2 linked regions of the Ovis aries genome follow. The protein of the gene in region 2 purifies or fractionates together with the protein of the main gene of each other region. This does not show direct contact. Links are inferred from orthologs where the notes say so. Each region holds a gene or a part of one and is shown on either strand. Other genes may lie near its edges.

Region 1 (7,164 bases), on a different chromosome or scaffold from region 2:
TGGAGGAAGTTGTGTGGGGCTTGGCCTACCTGACTTCCTGTTGACCTGGTTCTGGGGGATGATGATTTGGCAGGAGTTGGCATCGTTGGTGTTCTTGATTGGATGGCTGAGGATGCAGATGATACGGATAACCTGGCCGGCCTTCCGCACACGGTCAGGAACATAGCTGGGGTCACAGATCAGCTGCTTGCAGCGGGCCACCTGTGAAAGCACCAGAAGGCGTTGGCCCTATCCGACCCCCCCTCGATGTCTGAAGGCCAGGACGCCCAAGGAGGGCTGGCAGCTCTGGTAGACGGGCCACTCCCCAGAGCTGTCACCATCACCCCTCCCACAGCGTACATTCTCCTCCCGCACCTCGGGAAGGTGGGCCCTCATCCACAGCTGTCTGCTGACAGCAGTGACTACCGTCTTCCTCTGGAGCCCCGGTCCCCGGGGCTGAGGCGCCCGGCCAAGCTGTAGGAGCCCCAGCAGAGCTAGGGTGACCAGGAAGAGTGTCTCAAAGGATGGGCTGAGCCCAGCCCAGCCCAGCGTGCCTGTGCAGCAGGAAGGCTCACCTCGCCCTCGGACTTCACGCCCACCACCTTGCCATTCTCCATGATGATGTCGTCCACTGGTTTGTTCAGCATGTACGTCCCCCCATAGATGGCACTCAATCTACAGTGGGGAGAGGAACCATGAGAGTGCCTCCTGGGAGACATGGGGACCAGCACTACTACACGCCCTGCCCCCAGCAGTGCAGGGCATGGAGAAGGTGGCCTCAGGCAGGCAGAGCTCAGGAGACCTGGGGGCTCTTCCAAGCTTTGTTGCTGCCAGGACCTCAAGACTGAACCTGGAGGGGTCCCTCCTCTCTAGACTTACTGCCAGAAATTTCCAGCTAAGGGCTAGTATGAGGGCAGCTCCTCAGGGAAACATCCCAGGGAACAGAATGAATGGCTCTGATGAATCTGACCGGAGGTTTCAAGGCCACAGGCCCAGTCCTCGTGCCATCTGACTCCAGCCAGGAGCCAAGCGAGCCCTATCTGTGATCCTTCATCTCCGCACTACAATGCCCCACTAGGCTGCTATCACCCGAGGATGGTGGGAAGTAAACTAAGCCCACAGTGAGAAAGTAACAAAACACAGTGGAGATGCCCAAGGGGGCCCTTTCCATTGTGGGCCTCAGCCTTCTCCACTGCCAATCGACAGAAGCCACGCCCTCACCTTGCAAAGCCTTGGGGCAGCTCGCCAAGGCCATAGAGTGGGTACAGATACGGGCTCTTTCCATACCGAGCCAGGGATTCGCTGTACAACTTGATGCGGTTGATGGTCTCGAGACATGGCTGGTCCAGGTAGCTGGGAGAAATAGGGTCAGAAGAGGCTCCAAGAGCAGAAGGCCCAGTGCACCCCCACCCTGGCATCAGGCCAGCCTTCCCACCCTTGCAGGCCTGGGAAAGACCATTGGTCAAACACAAGGAAGGGACAGAAAAGGCGACAGGTGAGTGAGCCCGGAGCTGAGTATGGGAGGTAGGCAGGGTGAGCCAAGGGAGCAGCAGGCAGGAGTGGGAGGGCAGGGTGTGGGCCGGCTGAAGGGTCATCTGCCATGCCAGTTTCCCCTCACTCATCAGTGCGGTAGAGCGCTAGGGCATGGCCAGTGAAGTCAATGACATCCTGCCCCAAGTCGAACTTCCGGTAGACGTCACGCATGCTGGTGTTCTGGGGGTCGACACCCTCAAAGGTCTTGGGGTCGTTCTCATCAAAGTTTGCCACGAACACCAGGAACTTGCGGAAGCGCCGTTTCTCAAACATGCCCATCAGGTCTGTGAGGGCCACATGCAAAGCACCACTGAGGTACGGGCCGTGACCCTCTCCACCTGCCAGGCAGGCAGAGCAAGCCGGTGCCCTAACTCCCAGCAGAGTTCTCTTGCTGACCACTGTGTGATTTTCAATTAACCCCTCTGTGCTCATTGGCCTGTTTTCTCAACTGTACCAAGAGTGAGTCTGGCTGGACAGCCTCTGAGAGCATTCCCAGCTCTGACACTTGGGGATGTTTCACTGATCAGGTGAAGCCTCTGTCCAGGACACCATATTCCCTTCGCACTTGGACACCTCTCCTGGCAACCAGTGGGTGCACACAGGGGGATGATAGAGCAAGGGGCTTTTGGTACTGCACAAGAAACATGGCCTGCAGCAAGGGCCATCCTGCTCTTGATAGCTATCCCCCCTTCCCCCACCCCGATTCCCTGGCTCATGGGACCCACACTCACTGGAAGCCAAGGCTTCAGTCTCGGTAGATGGTACTTTGTAGATCTTGCCCCCCTTGTAGACAAAGCTGCCCTCCACCACCTTGAAGTCCAGGTAGCGTGTCACCTCTGTATACAGTAGCATCTTCACAAGCTGCCCTGCAGGGCGGTGTGGGAAAGGCAACACAGTCAGCATGGCTCCCTTCACAAGCTCAAGCTGGTCTGTCTGTCCCTGGTCTGCAGTCTGACCCTTCTCTGCTCGTCCCAATCACCCCGCCTCCCACAATACCTCCTCCGTCTCCCTCACCATTGGCCATGAGGAATTTGGGGATCAAGTCAACGTTCCAGTCTCGGCCCCGGCCCATTGTCTCAGGGGGCCCCTCCAGCAACTGAAAACGCTTATACAGCTGCAGGCAGCAGAAGGGAAAAGAGAGACAGAAAGATGCATCTCAAGGAACCCCCTCCCACTCCCGCCCCTGCCCCCGCCCCCCACCCAGAAAACCTGGGGAGCTGCTTCATTCAGCACCCCATGCAAGAGGTTAACGAGGGACAGGCCTGGGCCCAGAGCAGCCTACCTCCTCCAGGGGGGTGATGGAGGAGCTCTCACCCCCATAGTAGGGGTTCCGGTCCATGTGCAGCACCTTCTTCCCGTTCACAGACATGATACCCGACAGGATACATTCCTGAGTGAGGGGCAATGTTCACTGCACTCCCATCTGCCCACATTCCCACAAGCAGCCCTGACCATGTTCCCCACTCCAACCCTGAGGGGAGAGTCAACCTGAAGGGCCTCTGCCTCAACACACAGCTCCTTGCACCTGTGGCTGGTCGCTCTGCCTGAAATTGGGGGGGGGGGGGGACACCTTCATTTGACCATGGTTTCCTTTTAAAACCTTGCTGGGCAAAAAGGTGAACAAGGAAGAGGGTATCCAGCAGACACATGGATGGTCTTCAAGCAACCAAGATGCCAAGAAAATCATCTATCGACGTAGAAGCCCACAAAAAGGCAAATAAAACACAGGGATCGCCTAGCTGGACAAGCAAAGGACCCGAAAAGGAAGTAAAGGCTTAGCATGGTGCCGAAATCCCAGGCCCCACCCTGGGCCACTTTCCTCAAAGAGGAACCCCTGACCCTGAGCTTTCCCCGTCACAGTAGGGGCTTCCACACCCGACTGTTGGGGAGGCATCTCTCAGGGCAGCAGTCCAACAGGGTTCGGGGGAGGGCAAACAACCTCACCAGTCACTGTCACCAGCCCAAGGACAAAGGCTGCAAATGCGCCTCAGCCCCGAGGTCTCCATGGGAAACCGGGGTGGGGTAGTGGGAATGTGGTCACGGTCCCCACCACGGCTCCTTCTGGAACATTCCCTGGGTCCTCGGGCCCCCTAAGAACCTGGGAAGGCAGGATGAAAGCCCACCCTGGGAAGTCCCCCCGCCCCGATCTGACTGGAGGTCCCTGTACCACGACATCCCCGTCAGAATGAGCGCAAAATGAGAAGGGATGTTAAGTTGGTCCTGGGTAGGGGCTGGGGGTCGGGCCCGGGGAATCGGTCAAGAGAGACAGCCAGAAAAGGGGCCGCTTCTTGGCAGACCGGCCATGACAGGGATGGAGGCCGCGTCACGGTGGTTGGGGACGGGGCTATCTTTTCGGGGACCGAACAGCGCCGCGCAGGCACTGATGGGAGGATGGGGCCGGGGGCTGCAGCATCCCAGGGAGGAGGACAGGCGGCGCCCTGGACACCGGCGGCCGCACTTACGGTGAGTCCGGTTCCCAGCACGATCACATCGTATTCCTCGTCCATGGTCAGGCCTCGGTGTCAGCGCCCGTCGGCTCCTCCTCCTCCGCCACAGCCGCCGCCGCCGCCGCAGCCGCCGCCGCCGCCGCAGTGGACCAAAGATGGCGGCTCAACCGTGCCGCTCAACCCCTCCGCCACGTCAAAGAGTCCCGGCCCCTCCCCTCCGCCGCCGCGCCGACCGGGGGCCCCTGCTGTCCCCGCTTGCCTCCCGGGGAGGGTTGCTGGAGCCCGGGCTCTAGCACTCGCGCCACTCGGCGGGCCGCGCCGCTTTGCCGAGGGCCTAGAAAAGAGGGCGGTGAGGCGGGGCGGGGCGGGGCGGGGCGGGGCGGGGCGGGGCGGCGCGGCCTGGCAGACGGTGCTGAGGTCCGCCAGGGATCCGTGCGCAGGAGCCGCGCGCGCCCCGCCCCGGGAAGCTCGGCGCGGCCCCGCCGGCTGGGCGCGCGCTGCTGCAGCAGCCCGAGGCGGGCCCCTAGGGACGTGGGGGCGACTATTGTCGTGGCCGTCTCCCCCGCCTCCCTCTCCCGGGCGCTGACGGCCCCCGCCCTCCCCTAGTCGCTGAGGCGGGGGCCGGGGGAAACCCAGCTAGCAAACAACCCTCTCGGCCTCCGCTTGGTCCCTGGAAAAGCAGCCTCCATCCCTCCATCCTCGGGCCTCCTCTCTCGGCCGTCAGCCAAGTGCATCCTCCCTTCCTTGTGCCCAGCGCAGAAATGAGTGACAAGAAGCCCAAGCATGGCGACCCGTCTTTATTTTATTCGGAAGGAAACCACGAGCACCCCAGGGCTCCTGCCAGGTACTCCCGACAGGAACAGGTCCCAAACCCCGTGATCACACCCATCCCACCTGCCATGTAGATCCCTTCCTTCTTAGGCCAAAGGAATAAACCCCAGTGTACGTCTTATTGTTAGCACATCACCAAAAAATAAAATAATAACGCCAGCTAAGCGGGACAGACAAATAGTACTTCCACACTCCCCCCCAAACTCAGGGAATGGAACAGCTCCTGGCTGCTACAAGGAACCCCATAGAGCCTGGGAAGAGAGGACTGGCTACACAAAAGCACTATCAACAGCAAGCAGCGAAGGTGGAGAAATCAGAATAAATAAGGAGAAGGGGGGTGGATTTTGTAGAACTGATGGCCCCTACCTTTATAATGATCAAGCCTGGGAGATCTGTCTACTGTCTATGCAGAAATATATACACCTTGTGGAGAGAGATGTGGTGGGGAGTGGGCAGCCTAGGGAAGACCCTCAGCAGGCTGAACAGGTAGCCTGACAAGCTAGGGGGAGCCAGGGAGTCGTGCAATGGCGGAAGAGGGAGAAGCCTTCCTGCCCAGTGGGCCTCTGATGGGAAGGTGACAACCTGGACCTCAGGCACGCCCTCAATCCCCCCCCCCATCCCCCGCCCCTACAGGTGTGGAATCACACGATCTGGGTCAAAGTGATGGTGGGGCCCTTGTGGTCGTCGAAGCGGTCCATTGTCTTGAGGCTGAGGATCATGTGCAGACCATAGGTGAAGATGAACAGCATGAACAAGGAGGTGAGCAACCCCATCCAGATACCCGGGGAGAAGAAGCCTGCACAGTCGCTAGCATAGGAGAACTGCTCGCCTGTCACATTGAAGGCCTGGATCTGAGGGACAGAAAGCACTGAGTGGCCCCACCCAGAGAAGCCCAGTAAGGGCTGGGGGTTCCCCAGCTGGTGGGAAGAGAGCAGCAAGGGTACGGGACTCCCCTACACTCCCAGGCCCAAACCTGAAAGGACCCAGAGACCCTTCGCAGGCCTCTGCTCCCCTCGAACCCCTCCTCCAGCCACGGCTTCCCCACTATCAGGCACAGTCCCTCCTCCCTTCCTACCTGGAAGTCCCGAAAAGTCATCTGCCAAAGAGAGGGCTGTGTGTCAGGCACAAGGAGGTTGCCATCCTCATTTTCACTGCTGACATGCTCGCAGTGGAAGGAATAAATGCTGGGCCCCGTGACCTGGGAGGCATTGAAGTAGGCGACGGAACCGTTGCTATGGATTTCCAGGTTCTCCAAGGTAAACCAGTACCGGGCAGATACCCGGTAGAAGCGGTTAGCCAGAGTGAACCTGGGGGGGGAGCATCGCGGAGGGAGGTCAGGCAGCTGGAAAGGCTGGAGCCACAGCAGCCCACCCACCCCTGCCTCTCAGACTCACTTGAACGTCACCATGGTCCCAAAGAGTGAGTCATAGGTCAGCACCAGCCTGCGGAGGAAGAGGGGTTTTCAGACTCTGGAATGGCCTTGAAAACATTTCCGAGCAAGGCCCTTAGGTCTCCTTCTACCTGAGCTGTACCAGATCCTCCTGCAGAGCCACCTAAAGAACCAGCACCCTAGCTTGACAGATAGGAGACCTGAGGCCCCATCCCTTTCCAAGTCAGGAACCAGGTAGCACACAGGTACCCCACCTCCAGCAAAGGGCTCCTTCCTCTGGGTTCCCTGAACCCCCAGACTCCCTCTTGGAGTTGCTTAAAGTGCTCAGGCTGGGCCATGAGGCTGCCCAAGAGGGTGGCACCAGGATCCAGGGTGATTAGGAACTGTTAACAACCAAGGCCCCAGCTAAGGGATGAGAAGGCGTGAACAGGCAGAGCTCTGAGCAGCGGCCCCACCCTACACCACCACCTGCGTCCTCACGCTGAACGCCCCTAAACAAAGACCCAGTCAGGGGCACGCACTTTGCCCTCACCTGGCAATGGACTCATTCCAGGAGGAGCCAGTCAGGTTGAGGTCCTGGACCCCAAAGGTGCGGGAGGTCAGGTCCTCCCAGTGCTCCCTGTATGCCACCGAGAAGTTTTGGGCCCAGAAGAGGATCCGCGGGGCAGTGTCATTGTAACTCACGGGGGCATTGATTGCAGGTGGCACCACCGTTCTCTGCAACAGCTGGCGACCCAGCCCCCCAGTCACCATGGCTACATCACGGGCCACCTGCAGACAAGAGCCCACAAAACCTTCTCTCAACAGCCCTGGGGGCGAGCCCTGAACCAGATAGCCTGCCCTTCCTCTCCCCACTAGGCACCATCTCCGGTCCCACCAGTGATGCTCATATGCAAAAGCTTCCTCTGAGCAGCTTTCCCCTAAGCTTCTGACATTGCTAATCTTTGCAACTTCGGAACACTTGGACTTCATGTCCGAAGACGC
Region 2 (7,164 bases):
TTTCTAGAGGATGGTTTAAGAGAAAAGGAAAAAAAACAAAGAAACTCCAGCTTCCTTCTTATTCCAAAAGACATTCAGAGCAAAGATTACCTCCTAGGCAAATGGGGAAAACAAGAGTCTGCGGAATAGCAATGAGTAATCAGCTGGATTTGGGACGTAGGCCAGGCTACCCCTAGCCCATCCACATGGAAGAAGTAGGTAGGAAGTTGAAAACAAAGGTATTTAGCTTGAAGGACTGATGTGGCTAGAAATATTTAGGAGACTTCAGAGAAAGGCAAGTAACAGGCAAAGACTGGAGTGCCTCGCAGTTCAAATGACCATGAAAAATTCTCATAAACTTTTGATTTCTCAAAGACCAATGTTTTCAAAATTCCATGGCCTGGAGGCACCACACATAGCGCCTTGATAATGCAATTGTGGTCTTTAGACCAACAGCACCTGCATGGCCAGGGAGCTGGGCAGGTGCAGAAGTGAATATGCAAAACCAGAATTTGCATCTTAAACACACCAGTGGGCTGTGGCACGTGCAGTTGAGAACCACAGCGGCAGTGTTCCCCAAATTCTGGTCTTTGTTCACCAATTTTCCATGGTGACAAAAATACAAACACTTAAAATGACAAATTCATCCACTTTAGGGAAATGTCCTTTATTCTGAGGTCACATGCTTCCTCTGTTGACATTTTTTATATGCCCTAACAAAATACAGTAATGGCAATTAAGTGATCTCCCTAACAGCAAGTTATCTCATACTTCACTGGAACCAAGGTGAATTTGAAGACATATGTCCTGTGCCTAGAATATTCTGCTTACTCCACTTTGCCTTATCAAGACTAAATTTCTCCTTGAATCATATTTTGACTATTATGTATCGATTTCCTGTGGCTGCTATAACAAAATACCACAAACTGGATCGCTTATTTCGTAGTCTTCATAGTTTTAGGCTAGAAGTCCAAAGTCAAGTTGCCCGTCAGCCTCTCTGAGGACTCCAGGGAAGGGCTCCCTCCTTGCCTCTTCCTAGCTTCTGGTGGCTGCTGGCCACTCTTGGCGGTCCTGGGCTTGTAGTTCTTCAAACCACATTCCTTCCTGCGTGAGTCCACATCCAAATTCCTCTCATCTTACAAGAACTCCAATGCATGAGAGCTCACCCTAACCCGACATGACCTCATCTGAACCTAATTACACCTGTAAAGACCCTGTTTCCAAACAAGGTCACAGTCACAGGGTGCCTGCGCTTAGGACCTGAACATACCTTTTGGGGGATACAATTCAACCCACAGCAGCATACAATCACACATTTTAAAAAGAAAATATCCTGATAATTCTCAAAATTATATGGTAAATACTGTAATATTTTCGAACTAAAGCACAAAATAAAAATATTAAGAGTCCATTGTAATAAAGCTAGTACAGGACCAACAATTTGTGTTCTTGCTTCATAAATTGTCATGGTAGAATGCATAAATTACAGTGTGTATAGAGATTTGGCTTAGATTTTTTTCCTCATTCTCAAACTGCCCCAGCCCTTAAATCTTTTTTTTTTTTTTTAATTTCTAGCATCTTCTATACCACTTATACTTTTTAGCTCCTTTCTGAACATCACTGCTTGATATTAATATTTGATTTGTGAGTTTTTGTCTCACAAATCTTGGTATCAGAAATCACCTAAAGCCAATCTGTGATCAGCCAATCGATCTCCTTGGGAAGTCCCAAGCCACATCAACTGGCCAGGCCTTTAAGAATGCTGTGAATTTAACGGTATTTGTGAAGCACTGTTTAGGGATAATCAGCCGGAGCTTTCAGTCAGAAACCGGTATGTTTGAGATTTCAATGTTGTATTGCAATATTACATAAAGTATTACATAAGGTATGGTATTCATGTGGTTGGTGTTTCTGGAGCAGCAAAATGTTGAACACCAGTCACTGGAAGGTGAAACACTGCCTTAAGAAGCTAAAAGGCATGCGGACACAGCTCATGAACGTGTACTCATTAACAGTATACTGGTAAGCAATAGTTCTTCGTTTTTCATCATATCCCTGGCCAACTACAGAGATTCCTTTTCCAGAAGAGAGAAAGTGAGCACAGAGTACTAAGGAGTTTAAAGATTAGGAAAACATTCCTTTACCATCTACCTAACAGGCAAACGTCTGAAAGGAGGGAAACTGTTTTCCATCTGGGAAACAATGCTATGCAAATCTACCAATGATAAGTGAAGGTGATTGCTTGGTTTGGGGTGACTTTTATTTTGGGTTAGCACTGTGAAGTGCCACACTGCTCTTGCTAAAACTAAATTTCTATGTGTTTCACTTAATTTCTTCTATTAGAGGGAAGGACTACAATTAGTAAAAACTAAAAACATATTTGGAAGCCACCATGAAAGAAGAGGAATAAAGGTCAAAGCCTGATGAACAGAATTTGATCAGTTGACCTGTGATGCTCGATGAGCTCTGTCTGAAATGGAGACACCATCTTTTATCAAGGTTATCATTTCATACAAAATATGGTGTCTCCACTTCAGAGGAAATGGCAATCCACTCCAAAATTCTTGCCTCAAGAATCCCATGGACAGAGGAGCCTGGCAGGCTACAGTCCATTGGGTCACAAAGAGTCAGACACGACTGAAGCAATTTAGCATGCATGTTTCACATGAGACAGATGAAACATAAAAGCTCCATCTTTCAGTCCTCCTCCTAACTCGTAACCCCACTTGGTTTCTTACTTGGACTTTCCACTGCTCCCATGTGCTCCTTCTCCAGGTCAGAGAGGGAAAAAAAAGCGTGGGGAAAGGAGCACTTGAAAAATAAAGAAAAAGCAAAAGCATAACCAACACTTGCTGGAGAAATGGATTTTTTTTTTTTTTTTTTAGGAAATCTGACTATGGTTCTCTATAGAGAGGCAGACCACGTGGATGTGGCAAGTACAGTAACATTAGAAGCTCTGACAACACTGATCCTTACAAGCCAGGGGTGTGGTTTCCGACTCCCTAAACCTTCTAGGAATAGCTGTCTTGCTCCCAGTGTTACCAAGAACAAGGCAGGTACCAGGCACAGGAGTGGCTGAAGGTGGAGCAAATGCCTGGGTGCTTGAGGGGCCTCAGCCACAGTCCTCTTACAGGCATCCTGGATCCCTCAGGGCCTGGGCACTTGTAGACCAGTTAATGCCTCCGTGCCTCAGGTCTGAGTCACATTTCTTTTTAACATACCTTCAGAGACCATATTCCTTCAGAACTCCAGCCTGGGTTTTTTTTTTTTTTAATATTCACTAGTATCATAAGTGGATTAACACTGTATCCCCCAATGGACTAGCTTGCCAAGACCAGAACAGTGCAGGAGGGTACCTTGCACTGTTGGAAACCACACCAGCCCGTAAAGCCGGTCCACACCTATCTGCTGACAGAAAGGGGCAGCACGCCAGGGCACACGGAAGAAGACATGACGAATTTGACTAGAGGTAATGTTTTTGAACTCGAGCCCCTCCCTGGGGCTGTAAAATCAAAATCAGACTTAATCTGAGAATGCCCAATCTCAGAGTGACTCCAGACTGGTAAACACTAGTAAACCTTGATACAAAGCAGAGATGTACTCTATTGTTTATTTTTACCACGCAGGACAAAAACACACAGATTATGAATTGGGAAGGCTTTCGTTTATTTAAAAAAAAAAATGTCTGCTGGCTGCCTTCGGGTGTGAGTGCTACAGAAGAAGCAAAGATCAAGCAGAACAGGCTCTGCTTCCGAGGTGTTTATAGTCTTGCAAAGATACATTTATAAACAGCCACCATACAGCTTGAAAGGTCTCGGAAGGAAGAAATGCCTGTCCATAAGTCCTTGTAATTTGCGTGCAAAGGAAGGAATTTCAAGCAAGGAAAGGTCAAAGTGGAAGAGTCGAAGAACACACTCAACTGCAGGCGTCGTCCCAAGTCCTTCACATCCCTCGCTGGGGACAGCATCGCAGTCTCTAATGGGCTTCCCTAAACCCTGAACTAACATCAGACCAAGAAACGGAAACCCTACCGGCAAGTACGCGGAGAAGCAGCAGGCAGACCCTCGGAGAAGCAGATCACATAGCCGGGCTACCCTCGGGCGGCCGCGCCCCAGCACTGGGATCCCGGTCCCCACGCCCCCGGCCCCGGCCCGCGCCCCCCGCCCCGTACCGTAGGTCTCGGACATGGCCGTCTGCGACATCTTGGGAGCGGCTCCGCCTCTCGCGGGGCGCCGCTGCGGCTCCGCCGGGCCGGCGGCAGGGAGGCCGGGGAGTCGGCCGCGCCTCGGTGGGGAACGCGAGGGGCAGCGAAGCGGAGGAGGGAGGGGCCCGCGGTCCCCGCGGCAACTGCCGGCCCCCAGCTGCTGCGGCCCCGCCGGACTGCGGGCTCCGCGCAGGCGCACGGCCCCGCCCCGCTGTCCGGGCGCGGAGGGGAGGGGAGGGGAGGGGCGGCCGGGAGGGGAGGGGAGGGGCGGTGGGGAGGGGAGGGGAGGGGCGGCCGGGAGGGGAGGGGAGGGGAGGGGCGGCGGGGAGGGGAGGGGAGGGGCGGCCGGGAGGGGAGGGGAGGGAGGGGCGGCCGGGAGGGGAGGGGAGGGGAGAGGCGGCCGGGAGGGGAGGGGAGGGGCGGCGGGGAGGGGAGGGGCGGGGCGTCGGGGAGGGGAGGGGCGGGGACCCGGCGCTCGCTGGGGGCGCGCGGGGAGGGAAGGGGAGGGGAGGGGCGGCGGGGAGGGGAGGGGCGGGGCGTCGGGGAGGGGAGGGGAGGGGCGGCGGGGAGGGGAGGGGAGGGGCGGGGCGGCCGGGAGGGGAGGGGCGGGGCGGCGGGGAGGGGAGGGGCGGAGACCCGGCGCTCGCTGGGGGGCGCGCGCGGGCCGGCTGGGGCGGGGCCGGCCGTGGGGCGCAGCGGAGCCGGGGCGGGGCGCAGCGGAGCCGGGGCGGGGCGCAGCGGAGCCGGGGCGGGGCGCAGCGGAGCCGGGGCGGGGCGCAGCGGAGCCGGGGCGGGGCGCAGCGGAGCCGGGGCGGGGCGCAGCGGAGCCGGGGCGGGGCGCAGCGGAGCCGGGGCGGGGCGCGCGGGGGCGGGCGGCCCCTGCGGTGGCTGCAGGGGTGGGGAGCCGTCGGCGGCCCGCAGGCCCGGAGGTGACCGGGAGGGGCTGGGGGTGTCCGGGGCTGAGCATCACGGTCCGCTCCCGCACAGAGGAGGCTGAGTGCCCGCCTCGGAGAGGCAGGCCGCCCTTTGCCAGGTGGGCCGCCTCCGCAAAGACGTGGCCGTCGTCATCTGGGGCACTCGGCCAACGAAGGACTTCCTCTGAGCTGCAATGATCAACCCGGGTCGGGGTGAATGTGTAACTAGGCGGCGGCGGCCGCAGGTGTCCAGCGGGAGGCCAGCGCTGCCGGCTGGGAGGCAGGCTGACCTGCCGGGGATGGAGCTTTCACTCCTGACCCGCGGGGGCCTCGCCGGTGGGGCTGAGCTGGCGTCTGGGGAAAGCTGACAAAATCTCAGGATGTACCTGTGCCGAAGAGTCCCTAGAAAACTGTAGTCGTCGCCCCTCCGCACTCCACTTTAGGGGAATGTGGCTTTGGACAGGAAGCATCTCTCGGCGCTCAGCCGCGGGTGCATTTTCTACGGGTAGGAGTCGTTGGTTGAATATTTTGATGTAAAGAGCACAGCTGAATTCAGGATCCCCTTCTGTTGTCAATGTAGTGATAAACAGGAAGAGATTTTGGGGAATTTTGCTCCATTGGAGCATGATAAGGACCACGTGGTATGGTATAAGACTCAACCTTGTTCAAAACACACAGTAGAATACTGAAGGTATGCCCTGGCTAAGCTCCCAAGTGACTTGGATGGTGAGGGTAATGCCAGAAAATACATTTTATTCAAGTCCATTTGAGTCTGTCCTCCAAACTGGCATCGGTCCTTCCCTACGGTCATCCCTCTCCTCCCCAGCGGCTCTCTGGCTCTACATGGTTCCGCTCTCTGATTCTCCTAGGAAAGAGATACTCTGCTTCTACATCACAGAGGAGTCCTCCCCACGACCCCTATCCGCTGGGGAATGTGGTTCGGTTCAGTTCAGTCACTCAGTCATGTCAGCCTTTTTGTGACCCCATGAGTAGCAGCACGCCAGGCCTCCCTGTCCATCACCAACTCCCGGAGTTCACTCAAACTCACCTCCATTGAGCCAGTGATGCCATCCAGCCATCTCATCCTCTGTCATTCCCTTCTCCTCCTCCCCCTAATCCCTCCCAGCATCAAAGTCTTTTCCAGATGAGTCAACTCTTCGCATGAGGTGGCCAAAGTACTGGAGTTTCAGCTTTAGCATTAGTCCTTCCAAAGAAATCCCAGGGCTGATCTCCTTCAGAATGGACTGGTTGGATCTCCTTGCAGTCCAAGGGACTCTCAAGAGTCTTCTCCAATACCACAGTTCAAAAGCATCAGTTCTTTGGCGCTCAGCTTTCCTCATAGTCCAGTTCTCACATCTATCTATACATGACTACTGGAAAAACCATAGCCTTGAGTAGTTGGATCTTTGCTGGCAAAGTAATGTCTCTGCTTTTGAATATGCTATCTAGCTTGGTCATAACTTTGCTTCCAAGGAGTAAGCATCTTAATTTCATTGCTGCAATCACCATCTGCAGTGATTTTGAAGCCCCCCAAAATAAAATCTGACACTGTTTCCCCATCTATTTGCCATGAAGTGATGGGACCGGATGCCATGATCTTAGTTTTCTGCATGTTGAACTTTAAGCCAACTTTTTCACTCTCCTCTTTCACTTTCATCAAGAGACTTTTTAGTTCCTCTTCACTTTCTGCCATAAGGGTGGTATCATCTGCACATCTGAGGTTATTGATATCTCTCCCAGTAGTCTTGATTCCAGCTTGTGCTTCTTCCAGCCCAGTGTTTCTCATGATGTACTCTGCATATAAGTTAAATAAGCAGGATGACAATAGACAGCCTTGACGTACTCCTTTTCCTATTTGGAACCAGTCTGTTGTTCCATGTCCAGTTCTAACTGTTGCTTCCTGAACTGCATACAGGTTTCTCAAGAGGCAATGTGGTAGGAACTGTAATTCTCTAGGATTGTTTTGTATGTATCCCTGGTTCAGTAGCTGGAACACATTTTTGCTTTCTTCAGGTTAGGTTTGATCTACACTCCTGAGTATAGTAGTCTCACTCTGATTAGAGCTAT

What was found. Proteins that work in one complex are often made in the same cells at the same time.
Region 1: the proteins of RAB4A (region 2) and GDI1 purify together in Homo sapiens (co-immunoprecipitation; 4 studies listed by BioGRID and IntAct, counting the BioPlex papers as one, with this or other methods). This does not show direct contact. The link is inferred for Ovis aries from reciprocal best matches to the Homo sapiens genes RAB4A and GDI1.

What each region holds. Positions count from the first base shown.
Region 1 is NC_056080.1:79,999,966-80,007,129, forward strand, and holds the start of GDI1 (rab GDP dissociation inhibitor alpha), read right to left. Parts: upstream 4,020-7,164; coding exon 3,975-4,019; intron 2,903-3,974; coding exon 2,795-2,902; intron 2,627-2,794; coding exon 2,527-2,626; intron 2,379-2,526; coding exon 2,244-2,378; intron 1,797-2,243; coding exon 1,598-1,796; intron 1,333-1,597; coding exon 1,201-1,332; intron 655-1,200; coding exon 555-654; intron 202-554; coding exon 30-201; intron 1-29. Other genes in the region: ATP6AP1 (V-type proton ATPase subunit S1), read right to left, coding at 5,432-5,641, 5,866-6,097, 6,185-6,232, 6,713-6,951. UniProt on the Homo sapiens protein: Regulates the GDP/GTP exchange reaction of most Rab proteins by inhibiting the dissociation of GDP from them, and the subsequent binding of GTP to them. Promotes the dissociation of GDP-bound Rab proteins from the membrane and inhibits their activation.
Region 2 is NC_056078.1:775,358-782,521, reverse strand, and holds the start of RAB4A (ras-related protein Rab-4A), read right to left. Parts: upstream 4,182-7,164; coding exon 4,151-4,181; intron 1-4,150. UniProt on the Homo sapiens protein: The small GTPases Rab are key regulators of intracellular membrane trafficking, from the formation of transport vesicles to their fusion with membranes.